Tribolium castaneum: one gene and its partner. The protein of the gene in region 2 interacts with the protein of the main gene of each other region in a pairwise test. Links are inferred from orthologs where the notes say so. Each region holds a gene or a part of one and is shown on either strand. Other genes may lie near its edges.

Region 1 (4,272 bases), on a different chromosome or scaffold from region 2:
GACCCTTAAAAAATTGCATATAAATATAAAAAACCAATGCAATAATTTAACAACAACCGAAATTTGGCGAATTAAATGCACACCAGTTGGTGGTGAACTCACTTTCCTTGTATAAATATAAACAACAGTCAGTAAACTTAAACCGTTTAATTTAGTTTACTGGGCGGCAAACACAGAACTGATAAACGGCAGTGACTGGGTCAGTTCTGTGTTTGCGGGATTGCCAATTTAAAACTACAAGAGTACGATTGTGTTACCCTATTTGGTCGCTATAATCTATCTAACTTTCGCTGTATCCACCTCCTCTTCCTCCGCTTGGCTAGCTTTCTGCTTTGGCACTACAGGTGAATAGGAATCTTCCTTTTCAGAATGATATATACTCTTCGACTCCTTCTTTTCCTGTTCGGATTGCCACTCGACCTAAATCAGTCATTCAATAAATACAACATCACAATACAACAAATCCGCACCTTTTGTCTGTGTTGTTTCACTGCGTCTCTACACCTATCCAAGACCATTTTCTCGGTCAGAACACCATCCTCAGACGCGTAGGCCGCCGCCTGCCATGCCACCCCCAATTTTGCGATTTCTCGGCCAGACATGCCTTTGGTCATCCGTGCCATTTGGCTACACAACGCACCGTAATCGAAATTATCAACTTTCAACCTCCTTTCAAAAAAAATTATTAACCAACTAATTAAGGAGACAATATTCCAACAAACCGTTTGCCCTCAGTCGCAGGCTCCAAAACGAATTTATCAAAATAGAGCCGAATTAAACGCTCGCGTTCCTCCAAACCGGGCAAACCAAACTGTACCATTTCATCAAGACGGTCATTCACCGCCCAATCAAACTGCTCCGGAGTGTTTGAGGCAAGAACTAACATAAATTTTTGACTTTGTTCGCCAGATCGGTACAGAAATGCGTTAAGTGTGGCGCGCAGATCTTCAGAAATGTGCTCCGATGAACGTTTGCGCAAAAATGCGTCCGCCTCGTCCACGAACAGCAACAAACCTAATCATTAAAATCGGTAACTTAATTCTTTGAGAAGAACTAAAACTAAATCATGACAAAATGTTGATAATTCATTTAAAATTTATCCTTTTTACTAAAAAAATCATTAAAAATAAAACTTTATCGAAGAAAATAAAAAAAAAGTTGTAGAGAATTAAAGACAGCTACCTTTCCTGGTACTGTGAGCCCAATCAAAGACTTTATGGATAGCTGTCACCCCATCCCGACCCATGGGGGCCACATCGCCCCCTGTCAAAATGGCATAGTCCATCCCTGAATGTTTAGCTAATCGCTAAAACACAATTTCGTAATTTAAATCACACAGTGTATGCAAAAATTACTTTTGCAAACATGGTTTTTCCTGTACCAGGAGGGCCATGCATTAGAATATTCCTGTACATGCCCCTATTTTGTTTGGTATTTTTTGTAGCAATAGCAATGTCTCTGAGACGTTCCTCCAACTGCGGGGCTAAAACTACACCAGACAGAGCGTCTTGTTGTTTTGTTCGAATTTTTTTTATTGCTTCGATGGGATGCTTTATTGTGTCGAGAAACGAAAATCTTGATGTTTCTCTAACCAACGATGGTTTTCCTATTTGAAGTAGGTTAATATATTTTTTTTAATTATTGGATTTACCTAGCCGTGCTTCTATGTAACGTGCTGTGACACTAGTTGCCCCTTTGGCTGAATAAACACCCAAAGCCAGGAGGGACAACCCACCCGCAGCTGTTAAAACCTTGTCCCAGTCTGTGAGCAAGGCGTGGACACCTGTCCCCAAAACAGACCCTGCCGTTCTATTAAAAAAAATTTTTTACAATGATGTTGGCATTTTGTGAAATAATTACTTTATACTCTCGAGCACCGTGACGCGATTTTCGGTGGCTTTGAGCCTGATTTGTTCAAGAGTCAAGTCGCGATTTTCCCTGTCAACTTTAGCTTTGGCCTTCAGTTCAGCCTCAACCCTTTTCATTTCGTTCTTGTGTCTCAGCTCCATCTCGTGCTCAATGGTGGCCTTCCTCATGGCCTCTTGTTTGGCAACGGACTCCTCCTGTCTCTTCAAATTCTCTTCGTTCATCCTTTGTTGTTGGGCGAGCTGGTCGTCATATCGCTTCCTAGCCAACTGGTCCTGGTACTGCGCCCTCGCTTGGTGCTGCTTCGTCTCCTCCACCAGCAGCTTCCTCTTCTCCTCGGCTTCGGCCCTTTTGGCCTCAATTTGCATCTGAGCAATGTGCGCCTCATACTCCTTGATTTTCGCCTGCTGCTCGACCTGTCTGGTGGTTTCTTGCAACTTGGACAATTCGAGCGCTTCCTTCGCATGTGCTGTGCACAAATAACCAACGTGAACGTTATGCAACCAAAGGTTACAAGACATAACCTTCAAAGTTGGATTTTAGGTTTCAAAGCTACTTACACGATCTCTCGAGCTCTTTTGCGGCTTGGGCCGCACGTTCCAAAGCCGTCGAGTCGAATCTGTAAGCTTCCATTTGCTTTCTTTCAGCTTTGGTCAGTTTTGGATCGTTGGGGATGTCACCACCGGCACCTCCACTCCCACCGGCCGGGGGCGCCCCGAATTGGGACATGTCAGGGGGCTGCTGGTCGCGTCTACCGTAACCGAAAATCCACGACATTTTGCGCAATTATTTTCTATCAAATTTTCATCAAAGAAAAAACGTGACACAATTCTTAGGTTAAAGACGGCTGTCAAAGGAACGAGGGCACGACCATGCGCACGTATTTTCTAGATGCCAAAGTTGCATAACATCGCATGTGGACAAAAACGTTTTTTTTATTAATTTAACCTTTTCTTAATCACTACGAGTTAATAATTTATTGTCCTCCAAACCAAATGCTTATCGCTGAGATTGTGTCCACTTACAATTTTTTGCATCTTTGAACACTTTTCTTTTTTATAGCTTGTGCTCATGTGGTCTTTTGTGCCAAAAAAATTTTGAAAATATTTTTTTTGATTTTTTATTTTCGAAATAAAGTGATAATTGTTACGTTTATTTGTGTTATTTCTTCCGCAAACATTACATCATTGTTGATTTTTGCCTCAACTATTGCAATAACCAAAAAAGCATAAAAAATCCCTAGTCTTTAACGACCGGCGATTTTACACATGGGGGTGAAAGTGGGATACGCGCATTGGCAACTCGAGAGTATAGGCGAGGGGGGCTTTGCACTCCCGGGGAGATGAAAAGGAACGACCAATGACGACTGCTTATTTTAAAACAAGCGCGTATTCATTAGGGATTTCATTAATTTGTATTTTTTGACGTAACAATGACATCTACGCTTGCGCTCAGATCGCTAAAAAGATCGCGCCGAAAATATCGCGCCAAAAGTGTTGTGTTTTGTCACTCATCGTTCAACGTGTTACCGGAAGTATGTAGCAATTATTTGTTTAATCGTTTAATCACAGCAAAAATTCTGATTACAGTACGTTAGTGAGTCAATTCCTGGTGTTGAGCACCGACCAAAAAGATAAGTATCTCTTCTTTTGCTAACATAACTTCATCTTTTTGATTGGTGTTTCTTTCTATTTTAAAGGCATTGGTCTCTGGGCTGGGGTGACGGATTTTTGATTTCTACTACTCAAGCGAACTTTAGTCATGGCTGGTTATCGCAAATATTCCTGCAAATACCCCGGATGCACCAGTGGTTATGTTCCCAACAAAGGACATGCCAACAAGCATTTCTTCACTTTCCCTAAGAATCCAAAGCTTCACGAATTGTGGAGGAATGCCTGCAAAATTGAGGATCCTGTAAGTTCAAAATTTTGGCGTTTATGTGAGGATCATTTTGAAAGTCGCGATTTTGTTAATGAGAGGAAGGATAAATTAAATCCACATGTAGTTCCAAAACCATGCGTTATGGCCCCACAAGAGGAGTTTGTTGAGGTTTCCAACTGACTCAAAAAAGTACCGGTGTGCTTTGACAGATGAGTCGCCCCATTTGGCATTTTGGTCAAAATTGTTAACGGAGATGGGCCATTGGAAACTAATAGATTTGAAAAATGGAACTGATTGTACCAATCAGTTTTCATTCGTCAAGGGTTGGCAGACGACAATCAGGTCTATTATTTTTTTATGGAATCACCTCAAAAACATCGATGGGTTTGATTTTTTGAACTTGAGGGGTCTAAACCAAGACCCCTTGGAGAATCTTTTCTGTAGTATTCGCCAGCACGGTGTTGCAAACACGAATCCCACATGCCACCAGTTCACAGCTGCCTTGAAAACCGTAGTTGTTAACAA
Region 2 (3,823 bases):
TAATAACCGGCCTCGTGTAATTGATTGCCATCTGCTGGACAGGTTCGTATGAGAGTACATTTTCCTCATTGCCTGAAAACAAAACCAAAAATTCAATTTTGCCGAAAACTAACTCACTTCGTTCGACACTTGGCAAAATCTGGACTTAAATTATTCTTCCTGGAAAGACTTACAAGCCAAGTTACAAAAAATCAAACCTCTAACATTCCATAACACACATTCACATGAAGTTACCCTAGATAAGAAGCTGAAAACATGTTAAAACTCTAGAAAGACACAACTGTGAAAAGAGACACAAGACACAGAAAATTTGTTTTAGTGACACACAAAACAAATCAATCGCAAATTCGCAAATAAAAACAAACACACCTACTTACGTACAACTCAAAGTACGCTAAGTCTATGTTAATGCAGTTAAGTTTCTAGTTGTTTAGAAGGCTAGCACATTCACCCTACATGATAGCGCAGGCTTCCTCGAATAATGTGACAGCGCCATCCACAAGCCGAGCGACGAAAAAACTACTTCTACCCTAAAGCACGCGTTTCACTCACGTAATTAATTTCAATTACAATTACTTCGGGCAAATTATAACTAATTTCTATTACAAAAGTACAATATAATTAAAATTTGAAAATATATTGCTGAGACAGATATATTTTTTTAAAGTATACTATTCTCAACTAAATTTTTTTCCCTTTTGATTTTGAGTAATGAAGCCATTTTTAGCCATTAAAACGCAAATGGACCAAGCAAATTTGTTCAATTTGGTCACATGATTAATTATAGATTAATGACTCTTCTATAAACCGGCCCTAAGTTTATAAATGAACTGCTACATTTTTTGTTTATTTCGGTAATTTACCAGATCAATCGTTTAATAAAGTTTTATAAAATTTTGAGCTATGAACATTTGATGTTTTTTGAATCACCATGTATTTTCCATAATTTTCCACTGATTGAAAATATCATAAGTACTTTGCTGCTTTAACTATTATGAAAGTAAATAAATTACTTTCCAAGTAATTGTAATTAATTACTTAACAAGTGCGGCAATGTCACATTATTTCATTTTCCGCCTAGATGAGGGGGTGGGACGTGAATGTTAGCATAAACCGCACAACAAAACTCCTGCTGGGGTCTGAGTGTCGATTCGGTAACATTGAACTTTCAAACTGAGATTTCAACGATGAAATGTTAGGCCAAAATGAAAACTCCATATTGGATTAATCATTGATTTGTCAGATAAACAAATGATCGGAACACGCTGAATCAGTGCAAGGGGCGCTGCTGATCGCCATGCAGTCACAACACTAACACTTACTATAGTCGTCATTATTATCATTATTCTCCAGATAAATTAACGTGATCTCTTCCATGTAAGGTAGCTCAACCCGATATAATATTTCACCTGTACTATGAAACACAGAAAGAAGCCAAAAGAAAATTTATGTAGTAAACCAAAACGACAATGCAATATTTTTATATAAAGACAGTAATTATGAATCATACTGTACCTTCAGCATTGGCGTCCTCCTGGGTGTAGCATAACATGAACGCTGCAACACAAACCATCACATTAGGCCGGGGTTAATACACAGAATATGTACATGGTCTAAATCACACTCGAAGAAACTAATTATTTAGATTAATTCACATCAACCACCGTACAACAGAATCGATTAGTGGGGTGCTGTTAGTAGAAAATAACAAAAATAACGGATAGCGTCAGGTTTCAAGGATATACCTATTCATTACCGGTTTACACCTAAAATTAGTTAATGAGTACTTACATGAGGGATTTCGTTCATTATCATTAGCAGAGTTAGGAGTGGCAGAAGGAGAGTCTAAAGGTAGAAAAAAACAAATATAAAAATAACGTCAAAATAAAAATCGAATCTCAGGGGGTAAAAGAAACCAGAAAAAAATCGAACGAGTGAAAGGAAATTCTACGAACCATATACTAGGAGACGAAACGAGACACAAAAATGAGGGAGCCTTAAGTTTAAATTCAATCATTTTGTTAATTAATAATTGTTCGAAAGAAGTAAGTTTTTAATTTAAAGTTCTTTTACTTTTCCATTTCATTTCCCGCAGAGGAAACTGAAGGATCATCTGCTAAGTTTTATCTCCGCATTTTTCAGTTTAATACCACTTTCAAGTACTTCTGCAATTACAAATAAAAATTTAAATAGTAATTAAATTTATTTTTATGCAATAATTTGTGACGATTTTGTTAATATTATTGATGATATCTATTTATGGCAATTGTACTATCAAAAATTCGAGATGTACCAAATTTTTGCAGTACTTTATATTGACTGTACAACAAAATTAACAAATAAATGACTAGTTACAAAAAAAGCAGTTTTAGGTTAATCAATAGATATCGTTTTTTGATATTCAATGACAATCTTTTTGGTAACAATAATAAAAAAAATAGTAATTCATGTTACAAGTCCACAAAATAGAGTTTTAATGGACAAATCGGATTAAGGACGAGGCGACGAAAGAATAAATGACCCGGAAGTGCAAAAAATAATTATTCATCGTTTTGTTAGAGAACGATTACTTAGTGTGAAACAAAAACATTAAAAAATAATTAAAACCGAAGAAGATAACATAACAAATTTGTGTAACAAAACAAGTTTTCCCGTAATATACACACGCAGTAAACAACGTAACACTAAGTTGGTGCGCCAGTTTTTGGCCTTTGAGAAGAATTTAATGTTCTATCTGCTCGTAATTTTTTATTTAAGTTGTGCTCACCGTTATTAAATACAACCATGTTTTAAATTCATTGCTCTTAAAATTTAGACGGGAATGGGGACGGTTTCACTTGTATGTCGTGTCGTATCCTAGTCTTTAGATTTGATATCCGTAACAAAATCAAAAAAGTGACTTACGTTCTTGATCTGAGCCGTCTTCCGACTTGTCGTCTTTACTTTTCATGAAGGGGAACTTTCTACTAAACGAGAAGTTTTTCTTTTTCCTATCTAATGTCGATTGCTGCAATACATCGATCAGTGAGCAAAATACGTTATACAACTCGTGCGTTCAAACCTTATCCATAATGTTGGGCATGTGTCCTTGGAACTTAACCGAGCGATCCCTCGCCCTTTGCTTCCTCTCCCACCTCCTCTTCGACGGAACAATCCCCATACCCTGTTCATCCCCCGTGTTAAGTACCCTCCGCGCCTGCCACCACTCATCATCACTGGCATTCGTCACATGTAGGATATCCCCATAATGAAAAGCGAGTCCCCGGCTCGGCAACCCGTCGTCTTTCATCGGATCATAATCGAACAGAGCTCTGCAAATTCGTTTAGACATTACCAGCAACCCTACTATTCCGCCCCTAGCTGCAGTGTTCAACTACAAGTTCTAAAATCATCTCTTAATTATTTAATTTTTGTGACCCTATTATTTCTCCTTGTAATGTAGTTAAGTTATTTTAAAATCATAGTTAGACATACTTGCATTCAAGTTGTATTTAGTTACATTTTCAAAAAAAGTAGTTGAAGTTGGGTTTAATTATATTTGTTAAAATGTAGTTTTACCTGACGTAGAGAGAGCGTTTCTGTGATGTCCTAAGTAGAGTTCCCGTGACGGGATGCGAGATTTGCTGTTTCAAGTCATGGATTTTGGCCTCGAAGCGGTTGTACTCCTCGGGTCTGTACTGCACCACCATTGTGACCGTCGAACTCGTTCCTTTGAGAGTTTGAGCGGCTTCTTCGTGAGTGGCATTTCGTAGGTTGACGCCGTTCACGCTGAGTATTTGATCGCCTCGACGCAATTCACCACTCAAATCGGCCGGACCTCCAG

What was found.
Region 1: the proteins of dlg1 (region 2) and bor interact in a two-hybrid assay, tested with the Caenorhabditis elegans proteins (3 studies listed by BioGRID). The link is inferred for Tribolium castaneum from reciprocal best matches to the Caenorhabditis elegans genes dlg-1 and atad-3.

What each region holds. Positions count from the first base shown.
Region 1 is NC_087398.1:2,267,157-2,271,428, forward strand, and holds the start of bor (ATPase family AAA domain-containing protein 3A homolog), read right to left. Parts: upstream 2,935-4,272; 5' UTR 2,644-2,934; coding exon 2,427-2,643; intron 2,336-2,426; coding exon 1,861-2,335; intron 1,810-1,860; coding exon 1,652-1,809; intron 1,607-1,651; coding exon 1,356-1,606; intron 1,307-1,355; coding exon 1,183-1,306; intron 1,015-1,182; coding exon 723-1,014; intron 670-722; coding exon 471-669; intron 421-470; coding exon 277-420; 3' UTR 1-276. UniProt on the Caenorhabditis elegans protein: Essential for mitochondrial network organization, mitochondrial metabolism and cell growth at organism and cellular level. Important during development for the up-regulation of mitochondrial activity during the transition to higher larval stages.
Region 2 is NC_087397.1:8,291,045-8,294,867, forward strand, and holds part of dlg1 (disks large 1 tumor suppressor protein), read right to left. Parts: coding exon 3,559-3,823; intron 3,312-3,558; coding exon 3,062-3,311; intron 3,008-3,061; coding exon 2,905-3,007; intron 1,846-2,904; coding exon 1,792-1,845; intron 1,558-1,791; coding exon 1,516-1,557; intron 1,410-1,515; coding exon 1,323-1,409; intron 73-1,322; coding exon 1-72. UniProt on the Caenorhabditis elegans protein: Essential multidomain scaffolding protein required for normal development. Recruits channels, receptors and signaling molecules to discrete plasma membrane domains in polarized cells. Required for proper embryonic elongation.